Linked DNA regions of Saccharomyces cerevisiae S288C. The gene in region 4 interacts genetically with the main gene of each other region. Each region holds a gene or a part of one and is shown on either strand. Other genes may lie near its edges. The genes, in order: CHS7, ECM33, LRG1 and SHE4.

What was found.
Region 1: mutations in SHE4 (region 4) and CHS7 together harm fitness more than expected from each alone (negative genetic interaction), as found in Saccharomyces cerevisiae (4 studies listed by BioGRID, with this or other methods).
Region 2: mutations in SHE4 (region 4) and ECM33 together harm fitness more than expected from each alone (negative genetic interaction), as found in Saccharomyces cerevisiae (2 studies listed by BioGRID).
Region 3: mutations in SHE4 (region 4) and LRG1 together harm fitness more than expected from each alone (negative genetic interaction), as found in Saccharomyces cerevisiae (2 studies listed by BioGRID).

What each region holds. Positions count from the first base shown.
Region 1 is NC_001140.6:379,962-387,262, reverse strand, and holds CHS7 (Chs7p), read right to left. Parts: upstream 3,726-7,301; coding exon 2,775-3,725; downstream 1-2,774. Other genes in the region: DNA-directed RNA polymerase core subunit RPC10, read right to left, coding at 1-30; DSE2 (Dse2p), read right to left, coding at 776-1,753; 60S ribosomal protein eL42 RPL42B, read left to right, coding at 4,512-4,515, 4,957-5,273; YHR140W (uncharacterized protein), read right to left, coding at 5,972-6,691; YHR139C-A (uncharacterized protein), read left to right, coding at 6,844-7,155. UniProt on the Saccharomyces cerevisiae protein: Chaperone required for the export of the chitin synthase CHS3 from the endoplasmic reticulum.
Region 2 is NC_001134.8:389,728-397,393, forward strand, and holds ECM33 (Ecm33p), read left to right. Parts: upstream 1-3,395; coding exon 3,396-3,453; intron 3,454-3,783; coding exon 3,784-5,015; downstream 5,016-7,666. Other genes in the region: ECM8 (Ecm8p), read left to right, coding at 500-1,564; SLM4 (Slm4p), read right to left, coding at 2,078-2,566; RPG1 (translation initiation factor eIF3 core subunit a), read right to left, coding at 5,656-7,666. UniProt on the Saccharomyces cerevisiae protein: Required for proper cell wall integrity and for the correct assembly of the mannoprotein outer layer of the cell wall. Important for apical bud growth.
Region 3 is NC_001136.10:19,834-28,802, forward strand, and holds LRG1 (GTPase-activating protein LRG1), read left to right. Parts: upstream 1-2,989; coding exon 2,990-6,043; downstream 6,044-8,969. Other genes in the region: YDL241W (uncharacterized protein), read left to right, coding at 802-1,173; ADY3 (Ady3p), read right to left, coding at 6,570-8,942. UniProt on the Saccharomyces cerevisiae protein: Acts in signal transduction. Activates CDC42, RHO1 and RHO2. Negatively regulates 1,3-beta-glucan synthesis. May be responsible for the down-regulation of CDC42 during mating.
Region 4 is NC_001147.6:394,664-402,047, reverse strand, and holds SHE4 (She4p), read left to right. Parts: upstream 1-1,943; coding exon 1,944-4,313; downstream 4,314-7,384. Other genes in the region: CYC2 (oxidoreductase), read right to left, coding at 1-493; SNAP receptor PEP12, read right to left, coding at 834-1,700; YOR034C-A (uncharacterized protein), read left to right, coding at 4,380-4,622; putative palmitoyltransferase AKR2, read left to right, coding at 4,962-7,211. UniProt on the Saccharomyces cerevisiae protein: Required for mother cell-specific ho expression. Might be required for the transport of factors (such as ASH1) that promote HO repression from the mother cell into its bud.

The DNA.
Region 1 (7,301 bases), on a different chromosome or scaffold from region 4:
TGTTGGAATCTGGAACCCTTCGCGAGACATTGTTATACTTGTGGACTTTTATTCTTGGGTACGTTCTTATTAAATGTTGGTAGAATAAGTCGATGATGTGGAATACTCTTCACTTTTCTGATTCTAAAATCTATTTTAGATGTTAAAGAAATGAAAAAAAAAAAAAAAAAAATTAAAATTCAGAAAAATCATATTCTACGACCGCAGCGTTATATAACGTTACATCGGTGAGGCTAATTGTAGCCTTACCTGGTAATGTACAATGTCGTGGTCATGAGACAAATGTCAAATAGGAAGATGCAATGGAGAACAAATTTGACACACATGATTGAATCATTAAATCTACGGCAATATTTTGTTCTTATTTAGTGTCTCTTTCTCCATATCACTGCTCATATCAGGAAAAACTGTAGATTCTGACAATGTACTCGCCGGAACATTTTGATATATATAGGTGATGTAATTTCCATATGAAAAATACTAAAGACTTGTGATGAATTCATGAAATGAGTGGGGAAGAATCAGTATCCTTAGTAAGAGGTAACTAATAAAATTAAGTTATAGTATACACATTGTATATAATAGTTGAAACTACAAAATGAAAAGATCATGAGAAAAAAACAAAATAAAGAAATTAGGAAACTTAGTCGTTATAACAACACGAGGAAAAATGAATAAATAATACTGTCTTTTTACTATTTTTAACAAAAAATAATGGAAAAAATACGCCTGAGAAAACAAATAGAAAAGAATGCACCACCATTATGCCTAAGCGCTAAATGGTAACCGTAGCATAAATTGTGTTTGTACTAGTTATAGTGGTGGCGGCATCAACGGATTGAGACGGGTTAGTTAAGTAGACAGTACTATAGTAGTCATCATCATCATAAAAAACGTAACAAGTGCCATCCGAGCTGGAGACGGATATCGATTGCGTAGAAGACGATTCTAATGGCATGGATGTCGTTGCTCTAGACGTTGTATCTACGCTAGAAGAGGGTACCAGTGTAGAGGTAGTTCTTGCTATAGTGGACCCTGTTTGGGATGACTCAACTGCGGAAGTGGAAGACGATGACGCCAAAGTTAGTTGAGAGTTTCCGCTTTTTGAGCTCGATGGTGCCAAGGTAATAATAGTGGCGAAAGAAGAAGAAGAAGAAGAAGAAGAAGTTAAGGAAAGAGGGGCAGATGATGATGATGTTGAAAATGATGAGGATGATGTTTCAGAAGATGAAGATGAAGAAAGTTGGGAAGAGAAAGGTGCAGTAGATGAAACAAAAGCAGAACTAGAAGTCAAACGAAAACCTGAAGACGCAGATGGTTCGGCTGTAGCGGAAGATGTACCTGACGATTCGATACTTTGAGATGATTCGATATCGTATGTAGAGCTAGAGGATGTTGAAGAACCAGATGAAATCGTTGGACTGATAGTGGAAACAGTAGAAGTAGAAACCAATGAGTTTGTTTGAGTAGCACTAACTTGTTCTGAAGCTGACACCGTTGAAACCTCTGTTATCTTTTCAGTAGTGGAAGAAACGACGGAATTAGCTAAAGTAATCGGATATACCCTTGTAGTAGTATATGAAATCGTTTTAACCACAACCCTTGCCGGCGCAAGAGTCTTTGTGTAGACAGCATAACTGTAAACAATACCATCAGAAGTAATAAGTTTGACTGTTTCCCCATTGCTGTTGGCTTCAATTAAGGTGAATAAAAAGAATAAGATATTGAAAATTGTAGAAAAATTAAATTTCATTTCTTTGTAATTTGTTAAAGGAGTGGCTTTATTTCTACTCTGTGAAAGAGATCTGTGTTAAAAAATATTAAGGAATGACTGTGGTTAGCTCTACTGAAGAGTTACAATAAAATGTAGTAAGGAATGACTAGAGTTAGCTTAAAACCCGAAAATATAATTCAAAAAATAATAACGCTTGAGGGAGTGGCTTTAGTTGGAATTGAAACAGTATATTCTTTGTTTCAGGCTCGCTGTCTACTTAATGGAAGTCGATATTGCTGGTTTACTTGAAGTTTTTCAATAGACATCGAATAAGCAGAAGAGGAAGAATGAATGAAACATTAGATAAGTTTCCTCTTATATACCGAGTATGAGTTAACGAGTTTCCTGTCATCTTTTGGGAGAACTTTTTACATTAACAGGCAACCAAGACATTGCTGGTTCTTTTATGTTTTGTTTTTCCAATTTAAACGAATGAATTACTGGTTCTTATTTTATTCAAACGATTTTCCAGATAATCTATCCCCTTTCTTCTAAGATATTCCTACAACTATCAAGCATTGTTCACAGTTCTCTTTTTTTTTTTCAGAATACATTATTTACTTTTCGCAAAGTATTTGTTTACATTCGGGCAGAACTGTAAACAGAAAAGAGACCAGCGGAAAGGCCTAAACCCGCAGCGTTGCGAAAATAAGATGATGCTTTTCGTAGAACCCTCTCATGGAAAAGTAGTCATGAACATATGAGCGACTTTAAAACATTGGAAACAGATTAAGAAGTTTTGTTTTCAATTGACTAAAGAAGGATAATTTGTCATCTTACTTAATAAACTACGGGAACGACCATCACGTTTCTTTTATGGATATGGTTGTTTCCGCTGATAAAAGAAGTCACTACGCTGATTGACTGTCAAAGTGTACACAAGCCGTTAAAACGTGGAAACGGCTACTTTCACTCTTTGGTTTGTCATAGTCCTGCTTATTACATTAAACTAATAGTATACACCTATTTTCTATATATGGTAATAGAAAAAAGAAGCATTTCACATAAATCCATTATCATACACCACGTCACCGTCCTTGCTAACACTTACACCAAATTCCAAGTCGTCGTCGGTAGTCATATCCCAAGTCTTGTAAACCATCATTAATGTGAACACATTACAGATGCTTCCAAAAAAGAGGCCATCTAAGTAGTGCTTGAACCCTTCACAAATTTGTGTAGAGAAGGCATAAACCAATACCTGGCCTGCTACAAAGAAAAATAGCCCCAAAAAGATAGCTCCTGTGACCCATAAGTTTCGAACTACCAATAGGGATACCAGTAATTGACAAATAACGAAAACGAATAAGAAAATGGCGTTTATTATGTAAACGACGACAATCATCCCTGAAGCGTTCATTGTTGCTACTTTATGGTCGGTGATCCATGCTTTGAAGGTTAAAATAGAGGCTAAAAAATTGGCTATGAATCCTAGCATGGACGTTCCACGGACCAACAGCATGGACTTTGTAGTCCCATCTTCCCATAAATTGAAACCTAAAAACCCGATTATCAATAAGGCCCAGCAACATGCACCCGCCAGTCCTATTTGTATAGCCACGAAGTATGGATATGACCCAGAGCCGGGGGGAGATACACCACAGTCTACCACCAAGGTAAATATTATCAATAGCAATGTTAGTTGGAAAAAGTAGAGATATTCAGACCTGCCAATAGCAGTATACTTCTGTCTTATGTTATAAAGTATGATTAAAATGACACCTAGAGCACCAATATTTATGAATGCGTTCCCGACATCAAAGATGACTGTATTGGCAAGATCAATCGACCGAGCATAACAGCGTGGCAGTACACCGACATTCAAATTTAAAGGATCAAAATCATGTATAATTGTTGAGTTCGAAAGTATTAGATGGGTTTTAGACTTTATTACCGAACATAATGGCAACGGGGTCTTTGAGCATATGGCAGCAAAATCACTAAATGCCATATTATATATATATCAGCTTTTGTATTAACAAAACCACAATTTTTGATAATAGTTTTGATGAAATAAACTTTCCACGTGGAGACAGCTTTGAAAAAACAGTTCAAAGTATGCCAGTGTAGCTTTGACTTTTTTTAATCTTTTTAGTTAAGTTATGCAATATGCTATTTTTATACCAAAATGGATCCTTTTTGATTTCGTGTCTTGTGAAACTTTTTCAATATTTAACCGTTTTAAGAAAGCGAAGCGGGCAACACCAGAAGAATGTCAATAACTTACTGTAACAACATAAAACATGGCATTTTAAATAGTACTGCCAAAATTTAATGCAATGGCAATTAGTTGGCTATGTTGCTACATATTATTTTCCATAGCATTCTCTGTCACAAACTTCAAAATAAAAGACAGTGACATCCGAACATCCGATACACCCATACATCATGAAAATAAATCCTGACATTGGAAGAAGTCTTGATACAAAAAAAGATCGCTGTCAAAAATGCGGCCAGACTGCCGCTGCATCGTACCAACAGTGCGTATGTTCAGACGGAGAGACGACCTCTAGAGAGACGTCCGTCGGTGCGGCAACGCTGACGGTTTAGTTGTTCGACGGGATGATGGGTTCCGCCAGGGGGAGGGAAGGCTTTCCACCAAGAGAGGTAAAATTATTCGTCGAAATGAACTCAGAGATACATCCATATTGTTGACAATGTATATCTTAATTGATGTGGTATTTTCACTGTTTTAACGTAAATTGAAGGAGATTAAGCAAAAAAACAATCAGTAATAATGGGTATGTGGACGATTAGGAATAGACAAACCATGTTATTTATCTCCATTAGGGCGTGAGAGTGTAATTAGTACACAGGTACTACTAGAATGCTAAAGAACTTTTTAAAATATCCTGAATCGTAGGGCAAATCCATGTCAAGCAAGAAACTAATAGTTATTAAACTTCATTTACTTTTGAGCTAGTTAAATATTTTCATCATTTCCTAAAGTACTGAACACCTGAATGATACTTTTATTGGCCCTTTTAATAAGAACTCTGGTTAGAAAATATATTGAGGATATCATTAGTAATACTCATTAGATATTTGTGAATTTAGCCGTTTCCCCATTACAGAAAAAAGATACAACTAATTACATGTGCAGTCAAATTACTTTTTTTTTAAGATCAATTACTAACAATCAACTATCATGCTAAATTTGCTGTGATATCATTTTGAACCAGTTAACGTCCCAAAGACCAGAAAGACCTACTGTAAGGGTAAGACCTGTCGTAAGCACACTCAACACAAGGTTACTCAATACAAAGCTGGTAAGGCTTCCTTGTTCGCTCAAGGTAAGAGACGTTATGACCGTAAACAATCTGGTTTCGGTGGTCAAACCAAGCCTGTTTTCCACAAGAAAGCTAAGACTACCAAGAAGGTTGTTTTGAGATTGGAATGTGTCAAATGTAAGACTAGAGCCCAATTAACCTTGAAGAGATGTAAGCACTTCGAATTGGGTGGTGAAAAGAAGCAAAAGGGTCAAGCTTTGCAATTCTGAGAGTTGTTATTGTTTATTGTTTTATTATATTTTTATAGTTATACTTTGACCATTAACTTTTTGTAAATTTTGCATACTTAACTCTTTAATATTGAAAACCTGCCTATTTGGCGTAATTTTTCATCCTGCCTTTGAACCTGTTGTAAACGTTCGCGTTGGCAACCATGATAAGTTAACAAGACACGTAGGCGTTCGCACTAAAACACAGCATTGCTACTAAAGTACGTTACTAAGAACCAGTAAAAATAAATATGTATAAATAAAATGTAGATACAGCTGATTCCCAATATCTCATTTCAGAAATGATCAACACCAGGCGCCCAGCAACGTTCAATCTATCTACGCTTCAGTACTACTAAAAGTGGGAAAAACGTGGGCTTTTAGTCATTCCCTGCAATTTTAAGAAAACTGCATATACTAGTAGTACATTCGCGATATAATTATGATGTTGGCCTTTTTAAAACAAAAACCAAAAGGAATTTGATTATAACAAAACTAAAGAGGTGTGGAAAATTAATACAAACCTTCGACTTTTTATAGTGCGGTTCCTACACTTTTTTTTTTTCCCGCTTACCCTGGTGATTGATTTTTTGGGTTCCGTTGTAGGGCTAGCACGAAAATAAGAATTAAGTAGCAAAATTTGAGATTTGCTCACTTTACATACAAAGAGCTTAAATAGTAGTATACTAGTAGTAATGCTAATTCTTATCACCTTTCTTTGCCGACTTCTTGATGTATTTTGGCGGAAACTTTTGATAAAATACATAATAAGCCCACGTAATAGTAGCAACAACAACAAATATAATCGACTTGTACGGCTCGTTCACGTCTAGAAACGGGTATGGATAGGCTTGGCCTTGCCCCGCATCTATCAGGAATGCTAAATATTGAAAATATGAAAATGCTAAACTGGTTACAATGAGCCATGCATGCTTATTCGATAATTTGAATTTCGTGCCAGATCCCGATAAGTAGTGATCGGCTAGTAAATATAAAATAGGATATAAGTGGATTGCCATATCCACTGTCATAGGAAAAGGTGTCTTTGCAGTAGATTCAACTCCATGCATTATTAAGTTGACAAAAAACAATCTAAGCGGCCAATAAACGGTAGCAACAATAGATTCTAATACTAAAGAAACTGGCAAAGTGACATGTCTACTAATAAAGTCTGATTTTTTCTTGGTTTCTAGATTCATCTTATTGTTTCTTTGGATATAATAATTAGAAATGTTAACCGCGTTATTAATGATTGTTGCAATAATAGATATAATGGTTAGAAACTGTTTATGGCCTGCTTTACTTAAACTTGGAGGTAAGACTACAGATGTGGCCCTAACAAACCCCCAGGTGCTCGTCAAAAGACACGCGGTGTTAAGGGTCAAAGTAAAACGTGTTGGTACCAGACAAGACATCATGGATTCTCCTTGTATTATGGTTTTAAAATACGAGAAAAATTTGCTAAGAATACAGCAAGACTAGTGTAGAGATAATCACTGACATATAGAAAGTGACTTATATAATTCGAGAAAAAAGGGACTTATATACTTATCGGAGATCTTTTCATTAAATGCGAAGCGCAGACTTCTCTAATCCGCGGATCTTGTCAAATTTAATGAGCAAGTCTGAAAAGGAAAAGAGAGCGATCATTATTTTTAATTGTCGCTTAAACAAAGGATTATATGTCACTTCTGCATGCGTTTCACGCTCTGTTTTTAGATGCTGCAAACAGGAACCTCTTATAGAATTTGTATCCCCAAAAATGATAGCATTTGTTCAAATAGATGGACGCTATTTGACAAAAATGTTAACATGTGACATTCACGTCAGAAAAGAGGCCAAAGAAGGAAGAGGGTACCAGCAAATACATAAACTTTCCTAAGGAATAGGTTAAGTTCTTTTATTCTGCATGTGTGGATGCTTAAGGTCATTTTAACGAATGGGTCCATTAGCCCCGCGCCTTTTTCAGGTCAGCGAACGCTTATAATTCCAAGCCATCTCATGTTATCTCATTATTTTAATGTGAGC
Region 2 (7,666 bases), on a different chromosome or scaffold from region 4:
TTGGATCAAGAGCTTGGTTAAGCGGATATTTAAGTTATTTTAATATATCGCTTTGTCCAAAAGCAAGTTTTGGAGGTGGGATCTCAATTTACACGATACAGTATTAACCAAATCTTGATAGCAAAAAAATGCAAAATATCGTATAAGTGAAGGCAAAGCATTGTCCAATGTAAGGTTCTGTGCCGCCCTTCCCTTTTTTGAAAGCTGCTAGATATCATTGTTACCCTTTTTAATTTCTACGCTATTCTCGGACGTCATAATTTTATAGTTACTGACACTAAAAAAAGGGTCGTACGTCTTACTGGCAGCGCCGAAAAATGTTTCGAAAATACACCTTAACACATTGAAGTAGTGATGATTTCATAAAAAACCACAAGAATTTGTTCGCTAATACATTAATTCGGTACTAGACTTTATTGACTCGTATATTTCTAACGAATAAATCACCCACTCTTGCTATCCTAACAGTATTTAATATTAGCTATTTAAAAGCCTTAAGATGGACTATGGCTACTTTTTTCCCGCACAACGTATTGAAGAAACAAATGGTGTGGATTTTTGGATAGACAGTAATGCTGAATTTACACAGTCTAAAAGACCTGACTCTTCAACATCCACTCTTTCGAGGGTTTTAACGGACACCACGAATGTATCCAATAATAGTGGATCACTCAAAAGAAAAACCATCAAGAACAAAATATTCCCACAAAGGAAAATATTCAACGATAGCGAAAATTTTGACTTTGGTAAAGCCAACACTGATTGTAAGCATGTGTTTAAAAGTATTTCTAAGCAACTGATTTTTCTTCCAAGGTGTTTCCAACATCACAGTATCCGAGGCTGGATGAAAGACAGATACTCCGAATTTGGTTATAAAATAAAAAGAAATCAAAATTGTCCCCCCTCAGCATGTGTACAGGCACTATACAATACTAGTAGATCCAATACCGAAGAGTCAAACCCCAACAGTCTGGATTCTCTGATAATGTATAAATACATGCGATACTCTGAAAAGAAAAAGGAATTGATGTGCAGATTTTGCCAGGGGAATAATTGGATTCTAGCTGAAAACTACCTAAAACATTTATTCTTTGCGCACGGCATTTTGTCTGAATTTAAGCCTCACACTTTATACCATTTCGAGTCTAAGCTGTTAAAAATCCAGGGAAAACTTAATTTCAAAATTCAAGTATTAAAAGAGCCAGAGTTTAGCAAAAAAATTTTGAACTCTCTTACTGTATCCATCATTCCCTCTCCTTTGGCCTACTACACTCAAACGTTGAACGGGGGATTTAGGAGAATCCATGTGAAATGCCCCCACTGCGAAAATTGGATCCGTTTGGGTTGGTGTGAATACGATGAAATCATTAGGGATTCCTTTCAGGATTTCGAGTCTCTAAGAAACCTCAATGCTGATTATAATGGGATGTCGTATATTCAAACACGCAATAGAGAAGACATTGAAGGTATATACGAGAATTATTTTACACACTACATCCAATGCGACTTAGCCACGTTCCGAACGAAATGTTTATATGTCCAAGTTATAACAAAAAGCAATTGATTGTGTACGCAAGATATTAAAAATAAATGATCATATAACAAATCAAACAAAATTTGCCGCTAGTAACGAACTAAACGATTACGAGACGGCTGATAAATACTAATATTCACCATCCTAGCGAAGAAACGCTTTAAATTTATAACGGTTACCATCCAAAATAATGAACATAAGCAGATCTGGCACCGTAGCAGCTCATTGGGGAAAAAAAAGCTGTCATGTAGGGCCCTCTGAGCATAATAAAAAAAGAAGATGCTTCCGTTCAATAACAGCGATAGGTAGATGGGGGAAAAAAAGGAGAGGAAGATGAGGCCCTTATGTACGTGCATATATATGTGCGAGTGCACGAAAGTGCACCACGGCAATCCGCGTAATCAAGCTTATGTAAATGGCGTGTCTGCGTAAACTCTGTCCCTGCGAAAATGTGTTTATTTATAGACTGTTCGCATTGTTTTTTCCAGCCCCCATCCGGAGACGCATGAAAAGGTGTGGCCTCGATACATATTGTTAAACCCATCAACCTAGCTTGTAGCCAAACAAATCAGTCAACTCTCTCATAGCTCTTTCAATTTTAATTACCAGTAGTCCGTAAGGGAAGCTACCTTCCGCAATGAACAATAGCAAAAGGTCGCTATTGGGTATCTGTGCGACACAGGTATGTAAATCTTCCATTTCGTAAGTATATATTTTTGTCTTAAAGGAGTCGATTTCCACAGGGTAACAGCTATTGGAGTGCTGTTCCTCAGTATCGTTTTCATCCTCTGACCACTTATCCTTAATCAATAAGCTCATCATTTTCAAGTTATTGACCGAGTTTATTTCGTTTATGGAATTTTTCGGTACATCGTTGTTTGACGTCGCATAGGACAGTATACCCCCATTAGTGGCGGTTATAATCATAGACGATTGCAAAGACGATGTCTTGAAGTCTACCGAATGCAAATCATACGGTTTCAAAGTGTTTTCCAGAAACCCTTTAACGTTTTTAGAATGGAGCATCACCATATTGCTTCAATATTTTGGATACCGTTTGCTGCTGATAACTGCCTTTTTTTTTTCTTCTTATCTTCCCTTAATTAATTCATTAGAGTCTTTTTAGCTTATATGCCAAATGAAGCAATTGTTTTTCTTTTTCTTCGTCTCTCTCTCCATATTCACCTGTTACCCAGAGGGCACCATTCATATCATTATCAACGTAAAATCTGCGAATTACCGTAAACCGCAAAAAAAAAAGGATGGCGGGCAGTATCATCCTTCACGACCCGGGTGGCTGCTGCGCCCTCGCGAAAAAGAAATGAAATGGAGTGCAAAAACGGGAAAGACGCGCCACCGTTTCTGGCCCACGCGCTCATTCTCAGTGGCCAGGCACTAGAGACAGGACTGAAACCGCGTTACCACAACAAACAAAGGCAACGTGCAGTAAACAACCATCCCTCCTGGGATCGAAATCAAAAGTACAAACCTCAGATCGAACTGAAAAATTTTCGGTAGCGTGCTTGAGCCGGTATAAATATTCAATGTCAAACACCTACGACTTTTCGCAATCAACGGACCTCTCTTGCATTTTTGTATTTAATATGTGAAGATCTTTCCTCTGCATTTTCTTTCCTTCTTTATCTTTCTTGGCTTTTCACCCTTTCTCTTCTTTTTAGAACATCATCTTTGAGTACTTCGGCCACTTTTAGAAAAGAAATTAAATAAAAGAGTTAATCGTTCATTCGCTTCTACACAGTTTAATCTTTTCCATTTTTCTTTCAACAAGTCCCTTTGAGCTATCAAGAATACGTTTATTTGACTTTTAAAGATCTAGTTTTAATTTTACTATTATTCCGCAATGCAATTCAAGAACGCTTTGACTGCTACTGCTATTCTAAGTGCCTCCGCTCTAGCTGGTATGTACACATTCTCCTTTTTTTTCATCTTTTTTTCTTTATTTGCCTCTTTCCTCACAAATCTCGAGTAGATTCGTGGTCCTCTTCATTCTTTTCTTTTTTCTTTGTCGATTACTGGGCTTTTTTTCATAGGTCTCGATTGACGCGGACGGACAATGCGAAAAAAAAAAATTTCCAAAAGAGGAAACGGGTTTCGAGATCTCGTGAGGATGGTTTTGGAATATTCTTCAATATTTCTGCCTGTCATAGGATTAGGGCGAGTAATGAAACAGAATAATACATGTATAAATCGATCGGGAATACTAACACTACTTTTCTTTATCTAAGCAGCTAACTCAACTACTTCTATTCCATCTTCATGTAGTATTGGTACTTCTGCCACTGCTACTGCTCAAGCTGATTTGGACAAAATCTCCGGTTGTAGTACCATTGTTGGTAACTTGACCATCACCGGTGACTTGGGTTCCGCTGCTTTGGCTAGTATCCAAGAGATTGATGGTTCCTTGACTATCTTCAACTCCAGTTCTTTATCTTCTTTCTCCGCTGACTCTATCAAGAAAATCACCGGTGATTTGAACATGCAAGAATTGATCATTTTGACCAGTGCTTCTTTCGGTTCTTTGCAAGAAGTAGACTCCATTAACATGGTGACTTTGCCTGCCATTTCTACCTTCTCCACCGATTTACAAAATGCTAACAACATTATTGTTTCTGACACCACTTTGGAAAGTGTCGAAGGTTTCTCCACTTTGAAGAAGGTTAATGTTTTTAACATCAACAACAACAGATATCTAAACTCTTTCCAATCTTCCTTGGAAAGTGTCTCTGACTCTTTACAATTCTCTTCCAACGGTGACAACACTACTTTGGCCTTCGACAATTTGGTCTGGGCTAACAACATCACTTTGAGAGATGTTAACTCTATTTCTTTCGGTAGTTTGCAAACTGTTAACGCTTCCTTAGGTTTCATTAACAACACTTTGCCAAGTTTGAACTTGACCCAATTGAGCAAGGTTGGTCAATCTTTGTCTATCGTCTCCAACGATGAATTATCCAAGGCCGCTTTCAGTAACTTGACTACTGTTGGTGGTGGTTTCATCATTGCTAACAACACACAATTGAAGGTCATTGACGGTTTTAACAAGGTTCAAACTGTTGGTGGTGCCATTGAAGTTACTGGTAACTTCTCAACCTTGGACTTATCTTCTTTGAAGTCTGTTAGAGGTGGTGCTAACTTCGACTCTTCTTCCAGTAACTTCTCCTGTAACGCTTTGAAGAAGTTGCAAAGTAACGGTGCTATTCAAGGTGACTCTTTTGTTTGCAAGAACGGTGCCACATCTACCTCCGTTAAGCTATCCTCTACTTCTACTGAATCATCCAAGAGCTCTGCTACATCTTCCGCTTCTTCTAGTGGTGATGCCTCCAATGCTCAAGCTAACGTTTCAGCTTCCGCTAGCTCTTCTTCCTCTTCTTCTAAGAAGTCTAAGGGTGCTGCTCCAGAACTTGTTCCAGCCACTTCATTCATGGGTGTCGTTGCTGCTGTTGGCGTTGCCTTACTATAAGATTAAAGCAACAATTTGTGTTTCTATTATTACTTTAATTTCTTCTCTAATGATTTCTTTACCATTCCTTTTTTATTATGAGACGGTTGGTTCATCACTGAATTTTATATGTAGATAAAATTTTAGTGTCGTTAATATCTCTTTTATTTCTTATTGTTACTATATTATTACTGTTTTGAAGTTCCAGTTTCATCAACTTTTGCTACCTTAATTAAAAGAACCACTCAGACTTTTTACCATCCTTTAGCTTTACCTAATATAATGAAATTTGTCTAAGTAACATAAAAAAAAGGAGTAAAGAAAAAAAAAAAATAAGTAAATGAAATAAAATATAAAAAAATTCTTACTACGGTTTAAAACAAAGTGCTCTTCCGCTAACGTTTCAAGTTTCTAAAGAATCGTTAGGGCCTTTTAACGGATCGCTTTTTTAAAACAGTAAAACGTTATTTATAGTTATTTATACCAACTATTTCTCGAAATTCGTTTTTAAAATAACTGCCATCTTTACTGCTCTTCTGCTCCTTCCTTTGACATGAAAAAGCAATCAGAAAGAAATAGTCTAATAAATTGTTATTATGTACACATACTCTTATACGTATAAAAAACGGTATAAATTAAGTAGATCATTTTGCGTTGTCTGTTACCTGCCCCCCTTGGCCAATCTCTTGGCTCTCAACTTTTCAGCCATAGTCATTTTCTTTGGACCAGAAGATGGAGTTGGGGTTGCTGGGGTTGCTGGAGTAGCTGGAGTAGCTGGGGAGGACCCACCAGCTGTTCTACCGGCTAGTCTCTGTTCGATGGCTTCTTCCATTTCTCTTTGTTTTTGAGCGATCATATCCAATTTAGCTTTATCTGGAGAAACGGTCGCCTTTGGTAGAGTGCTTGGTGTACTTGGAGGTTCCCTGTTTCCTGCGCGGAAAGAGTATGGAGTTGATTTCTTGGCAGCAGCTTCTTCGATTTCTCTTTGTTTACGGGTAGCCTCAGCGAGTTCTTGAGCACGCTTCTGTCTTTCAGCATTTGCAATTTCTTCCTTACGCCTTGCAATGGCTTCCTCGTAACGACGCTTACGAACTTCTTCAATTCTGGCCTTTTTGGCAGCTTCCAATTCAGCCTTCTTTTGGTTGCGGATGGCAGCTAATTCGCTTTCCTTAGTGCCCGAAACATGCTCCTTGAACTTCAAATAATCATCATAGACCATGACCAAGTTCTTACGATCAGCCATTCTGGCTTCGTATTCGGCCTTGGCGGCGTCGACAATTTTTTTCTTCATAGCTTCATAATTTGCTGTGTCTGTTTCTTGTAGCTTGTCAACTTCTTTTTGCAGCAATGGCAATTCGACCTTTCTCAAAGCTCTTTCCGTATGATCTAACTTCTTCATAGCATATTCCATACGACTTTCCAATTCACTCTTGTTCTTTGATACCTCAGCTATAATAACCTGTTTAATGGTGTCAAGATCTAAGCTTTTAGCTTCGTTAGGGTCAATGTAAACATGTCCCTTAGCATTCACCTCAGTAATCATCTTTGTGATTTCTCTTTCTTTGATAGCTTCAAATTCACGTTTCTTCTTTTCAATTAAGCGACGGTGAGCCTCTTCTTCCAATTTAGCTTCAATAGCAGCTTTTTCTTCCAAAATACGCTGTTGTCTGACCTCAGCATCCTGTTCAGCATGTAGGGCAGCATGTTCCATATGTTTTTGCTTTTGCTCTTGAGATCTCTTGACACGTTCGTCAACAATCTTGGAAATCTTTTCAAGGTCATCCTTGTTCTTCTTAATTAAAGTTTCACGGGCAATTCTAACCTTTTCCATGTATGAAGCATTGTTGAAACTGTCAACATCGTGTAGGACATTGGATAATTCAAGCAACTTGTTGTGGATGTAAGAATTGCGGATAATAACAGGATCAGATTCTTCTTCCTTTTCTTCACCGTCTTCAGTTTCTTGTGGCCCAAGAGCTTCGTCAGTTTCCTCCTTTTCTTCTTGGACTTCTGGCTCTGTGTTTTCTTCTTCAGAGACTTCTTTAGAAGCAGTTGATGCGAAAATGTCAAATGGATCTTTAGCGAATGTAACCTTAGCAGATTCATGATCGATGGTAATTGAAACATAATCTTCCACAGCAGCTTGTAACAGCGATTTTTCGATGTCCCAAGCAGATAAGTCTAACGGAGCAGGTAGGGTAGCGAGCTTGTATAATTCGGACTGGGAGACAGTAGTGAATTTTTGAGAGGCAGCAACAAAAACCCTTCTCATAATGACGTCTCTTAAAGGTGCGATGTATTGGCTGAAGTAGGTTTTAGAAGACAATTTGACTAATAAATTTTCCAGCTGTTGTTTCACTGTGTCGACATCAAAGTTAACTTCAATGATATCGTACAATTCTTTCAATTCCTCGTCAACTTTACCATAAATGGATTCGTCTTCAATAATGGATTGCAACATTTCCTTTCTAGTTGGCTTGGCGTCCAAGTTTAATAAACGGTACATACGTAAATGAGGATCGTAGCCAATAGATGGAATTTCGTCTAGTTGGGTAGAAATAGCGGATAGGAAAATTGTAGAAGAATATGTTTTGAATTCTTCTTCCGTGGCTCTTGGATTGGTAGAATATAACTTATAAAACTTCTTCCAGGCAGTAGTGTGCAACAATGGA
Region 3 (8,969 bases), on a different chromosome or scaffold from region 4:
TGGACGTAACTAGTACTCATGTTATTATTCATATCCTTCATTTTTCCTTCTTTTCTTCTCCTTCTCGAACAGTAACTTCAGATTGAAAGACGTGAGGATGCTTTAGAATGCACATTAAAATTAATATACTACTGGCCTCTTGTGTTTGTCATTGGCTTCTATTTTCAATAAAACATCCAGACAACCCTGCTGTTAATTTTGGAAAAAAAATTTCGCCGATTCTAATCATGTGACTCCTTTTCCCCAGGCAATACCGGAGAAAGCGTTCTATCTCAAACTATATAATTTGCGCTGCTCGTCTCCAAGCCCATGCTAGTGTTTACTTTCGGTTGTAAAAGGTAACTAGAAGTTTTAACGCAAGCATTGTATTATATTTTCCCACAATTGCTCTTAAGGACCTTTTTTTTTCTTGCGTGATCCTGCACTATTGAAAAGTCTTTATCAAAAATAGATGAAACTTTTTCAGGGTTCAACATTTAGAGGCTTTTCTCATATTCTTTACTCAGTTGCCTGCGAAGACCCTTCTGCCCGCTGCGCATTTTCTTAGAAAATCAAAAAAATTGCCTTTTCATCTTTTACCTTCCGAGTTGAATATGTTGACTATTTGCAAACAGGCGTATGATTGTCGTATATAACAGGGCACTTTCGGCAGTGAATCAATAGGAGGCGTATAAGAAAAGCCAATTAGTACCTATATATATATATATATATATATATATATATATATATTCCTTTATTATAATTCCTATCAGCGATTTTTGCATCACACCCAAGAAAAATCTATAATAGAGACACAAAAAAATGAACGTAACTGAAAATGCTCTATTGTTTAAGTGCGGTAGCAAGGGCTATATTAATCAAACCTATACGCCGACAGAAATTTATAATTGTGGGGTAGCTGAAGGAAAGAAAACTGCTAAAGAAAAGAACCCAACTTATTCAATTTTTTATGATACATTTCTCACTGGGCAGCCTGCTGAAAGTCCTGAAACGTTTACGTGTGGTTCGCATGGCTTCACAAATGCGAGTTATGTGGCAAGCGACTTTTATGCATGTGGTTTTCTGCAAGGGAAAGGTACAGAAACCAATGCGGGAATACATAATACAAGGCCTTCTCATTCTCTCGCCAAATTTACCATACTGTTCATGCTAGTGTTGTATACAATTGTCTAATTCTCAAGGTATGACACTTTGGATTGGTGGTCGCAGTAGCCACCATATAATTTTTTATCGTTTCTACATATAATACGAGACAGTCAGACAGAACTTTGGGTCGCCTGAGAAGAAAGACTATAAAAATGTAACCCGTCAGTAGGACTCATCTTAAAACAGTGGGTAATTTACTAAGGAGGCTGGAAAAACTGCGATAATCGGCTTATAGTACATATATATAGAATAATCATTAATCGAGCCTTTACCGCGAAATTCATGGATTTCTCAAAAACAAAGGTGCAATTACATGTTAAGCACCGAATTTCTATGCGAAACAGGTCCGTCTCATCAGTCATAGCTTTCCAAGTATATAAAACTTGAACGCAAAAGTGCGTCATCGACGCCTTTTTTTGCGCAAGGATTGTTACTATTCATTTAATGAACTCTGATGTCTTAATAAGCCAATGGTATCCATAAGTGAAGGTGAAGTCTACTGTGTTACATTAGCAAGTCAGAACTCCTATACGATACAGTATACTGCATTATGGGCACTAAAATAATTTAGATTATAGAAAATATCGATACTATGCTTCCACTTCTCACGAAGCGGCCATGTTTTAAATGAAGTACGTTAACGCTAACACAAGGCTTGACAACTTTCATGAGCGTCAAATAGTCTACGTGTGGGCTCACTTTTTCAGATTTCTTCTTGGCTTTTGTGAGATGTATAATTAACAATAATCATAAAATCGCTACATAAAACAAAGCATAAAAAATTACAGATTTCCTGTTCAAAAATCAAATCGGTCCAGTTCAGCTATTGTTCTGCCGTTGTTCATGCTCAGAAAATTGGACCATGGTGTCATCTAACTTTAGTTGGTCCCATTAAGCTCTCTTCTGTATATCATGTTTGCCATATTGTCATATCATCTGCTTAGTATTAAACCGTTGTGGAAAACAAGAAAATTGCGAATTACTAGTATAGAAAATGCATTCTAAGTCGCCTGTGATTCCAATAGCAAAGAAATTGATCTTAATGGAAGTAGGAAATAGCTGTGGCAAAGAGACAGGATACTAAGATTGGTTTAAGGCGAGGTCATACTTAGCTATTTCCTTCACCAACATTGGTTTTCGAACAGTCAAGAGATGAAAACGCAAAAAAGTGCACTATAAAGTAAATACTCAAACGTTCCCAAAACAAAACGAGAAGAAGCGATAGGCACCTCAAAACTGAAATTATGGGCAAACAATATAACCCGTAAAAGATCACTTTACGACCAGAACATAATCAACATGGGTGGCCCCCATGTTGTACTCAGTTAGCTTTTTGAGCTAGCAAATATATCAAGAAGCCCGCATGTGCTACTTACGTTTGAATTACTTCTCGTTGTAACGCACTTTTCTACAACGTACCTCACTAGTAAATATAACTTAATGCTTGCAGGTTAGCCCATCGCTACAACACCTCCCCACAAAGTATTTACTTCAAGAAATCGATCTTGGCGAGTATATCCTTATCTTTATGTAAGTATCTTTTTCGTCTTCAAAGTATGCCGGGTATTGATGGGCACGGAAGATGTAAACAAAATGGAAAACAAATAAGAACAGAATCTGAAACGTCATTTGAGAATTTAAAATATGTAAATCATTCCTCTCGAGCCAACCAAGGCTGTTCTTGCTAGAAACCAGCAATTGGGCTTCTCATTCAAAACAGTATCCGTCTTTGCCTTAACATTGTTATTTGGCCTTTATCCCAGATATACGCAACCGTATTTATTCAAATCCAAAGAAAAAAAGAGCAGACAAATTATCAAACAACAAGTACCGGAGGTGAGCAATGATTCAAAATTCTGCTGGTTATCGATCGCTGAATACTGCATCTCCGATGACCGTGCAGGTGAAGAATCAGAAGAAAATATGCGCCCGTTGTAACAAGTTAGTTATACCCGATAGCCAACGAACTAAAACAACTTTAAAGGCTCTCGGTAAATATTATCATGAAAGTTGTTTTACCTGCCAAGACTGTCAGAAACCTTTAAAACCGAAGTACTTCCCATATCAAGTAGACAAGACAAGTGAATCTATATTGTTATGCCAATACGATTATTTTAGAAGACATAATTTGTTATGTCATGTATGTGATACCCCATTGCGTGGATTATATTATACCGCATTCGGTTACAGATACGACGAAGAGCATTTTTCTTGTACAATATGTGCTACTCCTTGTGGGGTTAAAAAATGCTTCATGTACGGAAACCAATTGTATTGCAAGTACCACTTTCTCAAGTATTTTTCGAAACGTTGCAAAGGGTGCGAGTTCCCAATATCGGATCAATATATCGAGTTTCCTAAAGGTGAAGAAATACATTGTTGGCATCCGGAATGTTATGGAATTCATAAATATTGGCATGTAAATTTAGCAGCAGAAACTGTTGGTTTGCAGTACCTTCCCAAGCTGGAATATAACCCAAATTCCGGAGACAAAGATATAAACCCAACTGCCTACGAGTTAGATAAACAAATGCAGGCGTTTAACTTTATTCTATCTAAAACGTGGTCGGTTTTATATCGTTTTGAGGAAGAGGCAGCTTCTTGCATTTCTGATATGTTTCAATATTTGACAAGCAATGATCAGTTAAAGGGCATAGAGTCTACGGGTCTGTTGGTACTAAAAATCGACTGTCTTTTCCGGGGACTGGATACTTTAAACCTCTCGACGAACAAAAGTATGCCAGTTAACAGTGATCAAGAATGCATTGAAAACAACGCAATGGCGGCCAGTAAATACAGCAAGTTTCCCAAAAATCTGTCCACAAAAATTATGATATATTTACAACTCTTAAGAAAGTTAGGGACAGAAAACAAAAACGAAACTATCACAATTTCATCTTTTATGTCTGTTATTACTGGATTAGCCCATTTTCTAAAACTGTTAACAAGATTTGGGCTATATACGGCTCTAGAAAACAATAAGTTGACTCATTCTGTTAATCCATTGTTGAGGTTTTTAAGAGAAGTAGAGAAAAATGAGCTTTTTGAAAATAACCCGTTTCAGTATATAAAGACTCCTGTTAACGCCACAGATAGTTGCGCTGGATGCAATAAATACATACAGGAGGAATGCATTCAATTTTATGAGCACCGGTGGCATATTGCTTGTTTTACTTGTTCTTCATGCCATAAGAATATAAATCCGAGGAGTTTGACGGATCCCACCTTTAATAAAGAGAAAAAAAAGATACTATGTTCTCACTGCTCAATTGATGATCCGGCCTCTGTGCCGGGTTTCAAATTTGTTACTAAGCTAGCACAACTAATTTTTCTTCTAAAAATTGCCCTAGTCAAATCAAGAACTGTAATGTTGAAATCGAAAGCATCTAACAAGGTAGGCAGAAACTCTTTACAGAGTACTATGCTAAAGGAACAAACTTACATTAGGACACTGAATGATATTAAAAGATTGAGATCTAGAAGAGAAAGTGTTCGGGTCACTCATAACAAACAACAAGCTAGAAAATCAGTGATACTGGAAACTGCAGAGACAGATTTAAATGACCCGACAAAACAAGGAGATAGTAAAAATCTTGTGATTCAAACAGATGACCCATCATCGAGCCAACAAGTGAGCACACGTGAAAATGTTTTCAGTAATACTAAGACGTTGACACTAGATGATATTTCACGTATTGTTGCCGCTGAACAAGCAAGGGAGCTAAGACCTAACGCTTTTGCACACTTTAAAAAACTAAAAGAAACCGATGACGAAACTTCGAATGTTGTTCCCAAGAAAAGCGGAGTTTATTACTCTGAATTAAGTACGATGGAACTCTCGATGATAAGGGCTATCAGTTTGTCACTGCTAGCTGGTAAACAACTGATATCGAAGACTGATCCTAACTATACTAGCTTAGTCTCAATGGTCTTCTCGAATGAAAAGCAAGTCACAGGTAGCTTTTGGAACAGAATGAAAATCATGATGAGCATGGAGCCTAAAAAGCCCATCACTAAGACTGTTTTTGGTGCTCCTTTAGATGTGTTGTGCGAGAAATGGGGTGTTGATTCCGATTTAGGTGTGGGGCCAGTGAAGATTAGGATCCCCATAATTATTGACGAGCTAATATCATCTTTGAGGCAAATGGATATGTCAGTAGAAGGTATTTTCAGGAAAAATGGAAATATCAGAAGACTGAGAGAACTAACTGCTAACATCGACAGTAATCCAACAGAAGCTCCAGACTTCTCGAAAGAAAATGCAATCCAATTATCTGCTCTTTTGAAGAAATTTATCAGAGAGCTTCCCCAACCGATTTTATCGACAGACTTATATGAACTATGGATTAAGGCCGCGAAAATTGATTTAGAGGATGAGAAACAGCGTGTTATATTGCTAATATATTCCTTATTACCCACTTACAATCGCAATTTACTGGAGGCACTTTTGTCATTTTTGCATTGGACGTCCTCATTCTCTTACATTGAGAATGAAATGGGATCAAAAATGGACATTCACAATTTATCCACAGTCATAACACCTAATATTTTATATTTGCGACATAAAGAAATTTCCAATGATAACGTCCCTGACGAACCAGAATCAGGTTTAGTTGATTCATTCGCTCAAAACAAGGGAGAAAATTACTTTTTGGCTATTGAGATAGTTGATTACCTGATTACTCACAATGAAGAAATGGCAATGGTTCCGAAATTTTTAATGAATCTTTTAAAAGATGTGCAGTTACAAAAATTAGATAACTACGAATCAATCAACCATTTTATTTCCACCGTTATGCAAAGTAAAACAATCGATTATTCCGAATGTGACATAAAAACTCCTGTCACAGTCAAAGATTCGACCACAACGGTCATACAAGGTGAAATAAACAAATAATAGGCAGAAACTGTAAGTTTCCCCTCATTTTCCTTTTTTTCTTCTCCTTCCCCTCAGATTTCGAGGTTTGTCGTTCTTATTAGAGTTCTTTGCTTTTTTCTTTGCCTATTTCAATAAAATCTTACCAGTATGCTATGGAAATGGACATTATTTTATTATTATACAACATAGTATATTCTGACTAAAATGGAATTAGAAATTGTAACATTAGTATGTACTTATAATCATTTGTATCATTGTATTACTCGCCTTTTGATGTAAATTTTGTTTATATCTCAGAACATCTCCAACAGCAGATCAGAAGTTACATTGTTCTTGTAAGTGCTTAAGAAGTCTGTTAGCAAATTGAAATCTTTCAGAAGAATATTCCACCAAAATTTCGGAAAAGCAATACCAGCGGTAAAATATCTGCCATGCTCTATATTATGTGACTTTATTTTAGGTGCACCCCCCACCAGTAACTTATTCTCTAAATAATAATTAATGACACCATTGAATATATTAGTTCTAAATAAAAAAAAAAAAGCTAAGAAAAGAAATATTTAAACAACGCTTGCAAATCATACTCAAGAGGATGCTTTACTTCAGCAATATCATGATTGTTCAAAAACTCATTCATTGCGACCTTTCTTCTACTTTTGAAATCTAACTGTTTACCAAAAACCTTAAGGTTCAAATCATTAGCAAATTTTGTGAGAAGTGTAAGCTCACATCTAAGTTGAATGACAATTGTTGGTACAATTTTTAAGAAGGTTTTTAATGGGATATCCAACACAATTAATAAATTTTTGATTAGATTTTGCGATTGCACATAGGTAAGGTCTGTCAGAATATCAAGACCCAAGGAGTCGTACTTTTCCTTCGTTATATGTGGAAAAGATTTTCCAACAGTTTCAAAATTAAGTTCGGTAGAAGGATCACCATATAGTTTTTTTAAATTCAGCTTCTCTTGGAATACATCTTCTTTTAGTGATAGAATTGTTTCTTCGAGTTTTAATATTTCACTTTGTTTTCCAGCTAACTCGTCAGTAATTTTCTTATGTGTGTTTTCTGACTCTTGAATTTGAGTGCTCCATCTTGAAGCAATCAAAGCCTGATTCTGAAGTTTCTCAACAATTTCCTGGTGTTCATTCATGTAATCGTTCAATTTATCTTCGGCATTTTTCTGAATTTTTTCACTTAGTATTAATTTTTCTTTTAACTCGCTCTTCAGTTTTTGAAAGTTTTCTTCCTTGAGGTTCAGGATATCATGCCATCTCCTTTTTTCCAAACGAAATTGTTGTTCTTTTGTTAACGCCTCTTTTTGAAGATATTTTATTTTGTGACTGTGCTGCTGTTGCATAAAATGTAATCTTTCATTAATCAATTTAAAGACAGAAATGATTTTTTCAAGACGTATACGGTCATTCTTTTCCAAAAGTTCTATCTTTCCTTTTAATTGTTTGTATTGCTCCATATTTTCAAGATTTTTGATATCTTGAAAATCCGGATAAAGCTTGGCAAAACCGTTTTGAAACATCGAAGGGGAATGGCCACATTTCATTTCTTCTAGTATGAATTTACCAAGGTCTTTCTCAAAAAGAGAAAGATTTTGCATATAGCTGTAAACATCATTTAACCTTTTCTCGTAAAACGAACCATTATCATGTAATTTTTTATTTTCATCTTGAGAAAGTTGCAAATTGCTTTTCAGTATTTCAACTTCAGATCTTAATTTTACTATAGAGTTATTCGATTCGTTAATATCTTTTAGAAATTTATCATTTTCTTGCTGCAAGTTTAGGATTTGTTTTTGCTTCCTGTATAGTTCCGAAACTAAAATATTTCTTTGAGAAAAAGCTTTACATTTAGTTTTGGCACTAGTCACTTCATTCTTCTCCTTCTTGCTAGCGTTTTTGTTTTGAAAGTCTGTAATTTTTTCTTCTCTAATTTTTTTAATTTCTTTGCGAAACCGGTCCTGAACAATGTTGAGCCTTTTTGATGCAGCTTTTCTTTCGTTGTGGAATTCCTTCTGCAAGTCTTCTATTCTTTGAAGTTTAGCATCATTCATGCTATTAAGTTCTTCTAGTTCTTGAATCCTGTCATCCTTCTCTTCTAGTTTTTGTCTTAGTGCTTTGATCTCTTCATTTTGGGACTGGAGCTCATCTAATACCTTGGGTAAACTATTTTCTTTAGAAATACTTCCTCCATATGATGAAGAAGATAGCCTAATTTCTCCTAATTTCATATATTCGGACTGTTCTTCATCTGGAGTTTTAGATGAGCGAAATACGTTCTCTAGATGCGCAACCTCTATATTCTCCTCCAGACTCTCATTGCTTACAACATAATGCTCATCATTTGAGATTGCTGCGACTTTGTGGGGATTCGTGAGGAGCTTTGTAGGTGTAGAAGAAAATCTATTCACTTCAATACTATTGTGTACTTTGTATGTGGTAAATTTACCAGGGCTTACATTTCCTAATGTACTGGGCTTTCCTGCAGGTGACAGAGCCTGCGAGCCTATTCCTACAGTTGGTAAACCACCCCTTTGTAGAAATTTATTAGGCGATTTTAAAGTATTTTTTTCCGTAGCATTTTCCAATGTACTAATGTTACCAGAAGGTGAAGAGGCTTCTGAACCTGCCCAACTCTCTGAGCGGTTTCTTCGGGAACGCCTATTCGACAGTTTTGATATAATATCAGAAGAAATACTTTCCTGCACATTAGATTTTTCAGTGGACGTAGGTACTTCAGAGTCTATCCAAGTTTGTGAACGCCGCTCTCGAAAAGGTTTACTTTCTGGAGACTTAGTTAAAGTGCCATCAGTAACATGTCTCATCTCCCCCTGCTGGTCGCAATCCGAGTTTTGTTCCTTTAGGGATTCAGGCTTATTCAAAAATGCTAACCAATGATTCATATTCGGAGAAGTTTGTTGTATTCAACT
Region 4 (7,384 bases):
GGTGTAACCATCTTGCAACTTCTCCATTCTCATACTTCTTAATATAGAAAGATAATTTTCCATCTGCATTGTCACCATCTTTTAAGATTTCAATCTCTTTTGAAGCTGGGTTAAATTTAAGCGGTAGAGGCGTATAATTGCGGACCACCATGACTTCCGGTTGTTTGATCTCGACGGACCACAGATTTTCCGCAGTCATCAATGACCATATGTTAACTTTCTGCTTAAACAACGGAGTTACTTCCAATAAAAAATGTGATGAATCAATATCTCGCTTGTGTGAAATCTTGTACTTGACAAAATAAGATGGAGATAACTCATGTTTGTTTTCCCTCTCACTTGTGTACCTGTAGGTTAAATAACTGCTTACTGCTCCAACTGTCAGTAGGCAGCCTGTGATAAAAAAGTTCTTAGAGAAGCTGCTCTTTCTAGGTGACTTATGAAGCCTACGTGTTATTCGGGAACTGGATAGAACATAATTTTTCCACAGCATGCTACTTTTTCTTTTTTTCGTTTCCTCTTTTCTATTTTTGAAGGGTTCTTTCAACACGTTGCACTCTTCGAAGTTGTATTTTTCACTTGGGTTAAGTGAATTTTCACTCTTCATTAGGGTATGATGATATTAACAACATTTCAGAAGGGCAAGGAAAGGCGAAAAACTGAATTATGGAATATACTCTCTCTTTGCGGCTGGTTAAGATGCGACGGCGTAGAAATATTATGAGAGAGCCCATGCATTGTACAGTGAAAGTGCAAAACAAGTTCATTAACACGAATCTGTTTTAAGTGTATATATTATGTATATGATATTTGACGACGTGTGTTGGTTTGGTTTACAATTTCATAATGAGAAAAATAAAAAGAAGCATTACGAGAAGCACAATCAACAAATACACCCTCCATCTGCTCGTACGTTTTTGGTACCGCATGGCCTTCCTTAGCTCGTCTGAAGCCAATTGAGTGTTATCTGACGTTGTATAAATATTTGCTTCAATATTGTCAACTAGCACACCCTGCTGTTGAACAACACTTCCCAAATCTTTAAAAACTTCGTTCAGTTCCGTTATACCTCTTTCAATATTGCTGATTTCCTGGTCTCTTTGCTCGATAAGATTTTGCTGATAAGCAAACTCTTCGTTATTTATCGGGTCTCTCTCAATGACTATTTGGCTGCCTGGTATTCGAGTACTTTTTGAGCTATTCTGCCTTTGTTCTTCATCTAATAAAGCAGCATCATTTGCCATCTCACTTGCTTCAAGAGATTCTTTTGCTCTTTCATTAACTTGTTTCATTACTTGGGTAAACTGCCGCTGAATACCTTGAAACTCTTGAAAAGAGTAACTGACATCCCTCACAAGTTTCTCTCTCGCTATTATTTGAGTCTTATCCAGGCTAGCTTCCTCAATCGCATCCATCTTTTTCACTGATGTATTGACCTTTTTAATGAGCCCGCCTATTTCTTCTATCTTTGCCACAGATCTCTTATTAATTCTTTCCACAACTTTCGCACTAACATCTCCCCGATCTATAAATGACTTAAGTGTCGCGGTAAACTGCTGCAGCGTGCTTATTTGCCCATTTATTTCAAATAACTCTGCAGCAACCTCTTCTTTCAACGTTTGGAACTCAGGTGAATCACTGAATCTGGAACCGTTCCAAACGGCTTCATTATCACCACCAAAAAATTCGTCTTCCGACATCTCAACACAATTATTGTAGTAATTTACGTTATATTCTTCTATAAAAGCATTCTCTTTGGAGTGATAGCAGGCCTGTTTTATAGGGGATTATACTCTGGCGCAGTAGTTCATCGTCGATCATGATGATTATCAGCCGCGATAAGGCACGAAGGCTTAAATCCAATTACGAATCTTCTACTTAATAGTGAAGACGTTTTATCTAAACTACTCACATGAAAAGATTACTAAAAAATTAGAATCACGATGCCACTGTGTGAGAAAGGGAATGATCCAATCGATAGCTCTACTATTGATAGCCTCTGCGCTGCATTTGACAAGACTTTGAAATCCACCCCTGATGTCCAAAAATACAATGATGCTATAAATACAATTTTCCAGCTAAGGCAAAAATCTGAATCTGGGAAAATGCCGGCTGATTTAACGAATAGTGAAGCCCTTAAAGATCGTCAGAAAATCGAAGAAATATTGACCAGGTCTTACCAAGACCATTCTGAGTCCCGCGTACATTTATCTAAACTTATACAGAATGATATTCCCTTCGCACTCAATTTATTTGAAATATTATCAAGATCATCCATCCACGTTTTCGTTGGTTGCTTTTCCAATAAAGACGCAACAATTGCATTGTTAAATGAGCTGCAAATTAGGATACACTATGGCGAGGACACCCACGTCACGTATTTACTGAGCATAATTCTACAACTATTGAATAAGTTCAAGTACAATTTCAAGGAGGTGCGATTTTTAGTGAAGGAACTTATTTTGCGCATAAGCGAAGATGAAGTAAAATCGATGATGCTTATAATTTTTGCTGAATTACAATCAAGCTTCCAAAAAGACTTTGATAAAGCAGTGGTCGATTTCATGAGTAGCTTAATTGTGGAGGCAGAAATAGACGTTGGAAATGATCCATTGTCCATCATAGTCAAAACCCTATCAGAATTATATCCTTCATTGACAACACTTTGTTCTGAAATATTTTTGACCAAAGGACTAAGTAAGCTTTTTAAGAAGAGAGTATTCGAAGAGCAGGATTTACAGTTTACAAAAGAACTGCTGCGGTTATTATCTTCCGCGTGTATTGATGAGACCATGAGAACGTATATTACAGAAAATTACCTTCAACTATTGGAAAGATCACTAAACGTGGAAGATGTACAAATATATTCTGCATTGGTGTTAGTTAAGACATGGTCTTTCACAAAATTAACGTGTATAAACTTGAAGCAACTGTCCGAAATCTTTATAAACGCTATTTCAAGACGTATCATGCCAAAAATTGAAAATGTCAATGAAAGTGCGGTTAAGCTCGAGGAGGTTCCTAAAGTTGAAATGTCCGTTGAAGCGCTGGCATATTTAAGTCTAAAGGCCTCGGTTAAGATTATGATTAGGAGTAACGAGAGCTTTACTGAAATTCTATTAACTATGATTAAAAGCCAGAAAATGACGCACTGTTTATATGGTCTCTTAGTTATCATGGCAAATTTGTCCACTTTACCAGAGGAATCCAATGGTAGTTCACAGTCTATCAATGACTTAAAAAATTACGCAGATTTGAAGGGCCCAGGCGCAGACAAGGTAGGCGCAGAGAAAGAATCAAAGGAAGATATTCTTTTGTTTAACGAAAAGTACATATTAAGGACCGAGCTGATTTCCTTTTTGAAGAGGGAAATGCACAATTTGAGCCCCAATTGTAAACAACAAGTGGTTAGGGTTATATATAACATAACCCGCTCGAAAAACTTCATTCCTCAATGCATTTCACAAGGTGGTACAACTATCATCTTAGAATATTTGGCCAATAAGCAGGACATAGGGGAGCCAATACGGATTCTAGGGTGTCGGGCATTAACAAGAATGCTAATATTCACTAATCCGGGTTTGATATTTAAAAAATACTCTGCATTAAACGCTATCCCCTTCTTGTTCGAATTGTTGCCAAGGTCTACGCCAGTGGATGACAATCCGTTACATAACGACGAACAAATAAAGCTGACAGACAATTACGAGGCACTATTAGCTCTGACGAACTTGGCATCATCGGAGACCTCTGATGGTGAAGAAGTTTGCAAGCATATCGTATCTACAAAAGTATATTGGTCCACGATTGAGAATCTGATGCTAGACGAAAACGTTCCTTTGCAAAGATCAACATTAGAGCTCATAAGTAATATGATGAGTCATCCATTAACGATTGCTGCTAAGTTCTTTAACTTGGAAAATCCTCAGAGTTTGAGAAATTTTAATATATTGGTGAAACTTCTTCAGTTATCCGACGTTGAGTCTCAACGAGCAGTGGCTGCTATCTTTGCTAACATTGCCACCACGATTCCATTGATAGCTAAGGAACTGTTAACCAAGAAAGAACTAATCGAAAATGCTATTCAGGTATTTGCGGATCAAATTGATGACATTGAGTTAAGACAAAGGTTACTTATGCTTTTTTTTGGATTATTCGAAGTGATACCGGATAATGGCACTAACGAGGTGTATCCGTTGCTGCAAGAAAATCAAAAATTAAAGGATGCTTTAAATATGTCTTTAAAGAGAGGCGATTCAGGACCAGAGTTTTCAGCGGCAATTCCCGTTATCCTTGCTAAAATTAAAGTCTAATATGGAAAGAATCGCCATGTTTAACTCTTCTTAATTTTCACTAAGAAATACAACAGCACCCTGATAATGAACACACAAGAACTATGTAAGATTTTCGTAGCCAGAGAATATCCTCTGGTAGTGGTGCCCTTTATATATTTTGTTCTATTTTTACACCAGAAGTATCACACTACTCTAAATTATGTCTGGTACCCTACGTGTTCTAAAAGAATCTGGGTGAGAGAAAAAGGAAGAAAGTGCTCCTTTTTTTTTTTTTCAAAGGTGCCTCGGTCCGATGGCTTCGCAAACAATAGATGCCAAAGGAAATGATCTTCTCTTTTTCGCTTCTTTATTTTTTTTTAAGTTACGACTTCGTGCAGCCTGGGATGTACCAAGCTTGTTGTTAAACGAGCCTGACTTCTTAATCGCTTAATCTTAGTTGAATTTAGTAGTTCCAGTTTGTATGGCTGCTATTTTTGAGTATTTGGAATCATCTTTCGTTCAGCGATCTTTTTATCATTCACTTTGTCGTTTACAATTAGAAAGCGTCAAAACTTTGCATTTTTCATTTAATAATAACTGAACTCCACCAACTTTTTACTAGCAAGTTGTAAAGTTCATCGGTCAGATAAACATCTTAATTACCTGTGAAATACTCTACTGTTTCTTATGACCAGTATGTCAATTATTGATGATGAGAACGTGAAAAAAACTTCTAATGGGGCAGCTGTTGTCACTGATGTGGCTCAACACGCTGTAAGTGATTCGGACAATAACAAAGCGCAACTTCTAGGCGATGGATCCAACACTGAATATGTGGTTGATATTTTCATTGAAGCCGCTAAGGATGGGGATTTAAAAGTGGTGAAGGACGTGGTCGAAAGTGGAGCAGTGGATATTAATAACGACCGCATTGATGAATTATCCGGCTTACACTGGGCCTGTATAAACAATAGGTTTTCTGTAGCAAAGTTCCTATTACTTAGGGGAGCAAATCCTAACCAGGCGGCAGGCCCCGGAGGGGCTACTGCTTTGCACTGGGCCGCAAGGTACGGTAATATCTACATTGTTGACCTGCTTCTCAAACATGGCGCTGATCCGACGCTCAAAGATGAGCAGGGTCTTAACATCATGCATTTTAGCGTTTACAGTTCTAACATTTTACTTGTTGTTTATGTTCTTTATTTTGTCGTAAACAACAATGACAACGTCGATATCGATTCAAAAGATAACAATAACAGAACACCCCTACTTTGGGCTGCTTATCAAGGAGATTTTCTCACTGTAGAACTTTTATTGAAATTTGGCTCCACAGTTGCATGGACGGACAACAGAGGGTTCAATGCTCTCCATTGTGCTCTAGTTGGAGGTGATCAAAGGGTCATATGTGACTTAATACTTAGCGGTGCAAATTTCTACGAAAGGAATAACCAGAAGCAAGACTGTTTTGATCTAGCCGAAGGAATGGGAACCAAATCACTTTTTGAACAAGCGTTGCAACATCATGGATATGACAGGCTTGGAAATCAGAAAGACAAACTGTTCAAGAAAAGCTCGCATGCACAATTCACAATTTTTTTGTCACCATTTTTACTCATGGTTTACATATACTTAATTTCTCTCGTTCTTTCTCCAGTGCTAGCCATTATGCTTTCCCTACTGGTCACTGTTGTCATGGTCAACACATTAAAGAAGTTTGTATTACCATGCCTTCCCAGAAAAAACACTTACAAAGTTTCTTTGACTAGAACTCCCTTTTTCAGTGGCCTCTTTCTGTCCACTTTCTGTTTTTTAATATATATATGGACGAAGAAACTCTATCCATATAGTGTATCTGACTATACCATGAAAAACGTCCAGTTTTTGGTTACTTCCTTTCTCACAGTTGTACTATTTCTGAGATTAGTACGGTCAGATCCTGGTTGTCTGAAAACGGATGATAGTTTGACTTCGATACAAGAAACAATAAAACAACTGATTGACTTAGGGAAGTTTGATAGGGAAAACTTTTGTGTTGAGACATTAGAAAGGAAGCCTTTGAGGAGTAAATATTCTTTCTTTAGCGGCGCCCTGGTGGCCAGATATGACCATTATTGTCCATGGATTTATAATGATGTTGGCTTAAAAAATCACAAACTTTTTGTCTTCTTTGCTGTGACGGTCCAATATCACATGTTTTTGTTCATGTGGTTATGTCTGGCATATTTTAAGAAAACGAACTATATTTACGAACAAGTTGAAGAATATGCAAGATGTGCCCTGCTCAAGAATGAGACTTTGTGTAAGGGTTCTAATTACGATCCCTCTACCTTTTTTTTATTCATTTGGATTAGCGTAAACTTCATCTGGCTGGGGGCTATGTTGATTGTCCAGTTCTTCCAGATATTAAAAGGAATCACGACTCCTGAATTGTTCATCTTAATCAAGGAGGAGCACAAGGCAAAATTTATCAATCTGATACCCTTCGAAAACTCTATATATACCAGTGAAAGTAAAGGTGTTGAAGATAGTGATATGATTCCTGAAGGTCCAAGTGCGACCACCATTACTCACACAATTTCTATTGATGGTTTGGAACCAAGAAATAGGCGCCGCGCCATTCTTAGCGCTTGCTTTTCAATGATGGGTATTAATCAATGGCTCGTTACTATTAAGGAAATAGTAGGTATAACCCACATTTTGCATGGACAGGTTCCACAACAACATCACAGTTCATTGCTTCGAAGTTTCTTAGTGACAAATCACTGGAAGACGAATTTGACGGATTTTTGGCTTAATAGTGATGTAACAGCGCCCTTGTGGCAACGATTTTTCTATTCTTCGGATACTTCAAAAGCTATGTTGGGTGGAACTGAGGTTGACTACTACGAGCTATACGAATATCCGGCCCGAGAAGGAGAAGTATTACGTCCAAACTAAGTTCGCGTTTTATTTAAATTTTTTTCTTTATAGGGCATTATTTGTACTTTTTTTTCTTACGCGTCTTTAGCAAAGGCGGGAAGTACAATAACTAGTTTTGTGCACAACAAAAATTTGCGTGATTGATAGAAGGCAAAAGGATCTTTCGAGAAATTTGTATTACTGGCCCGTGT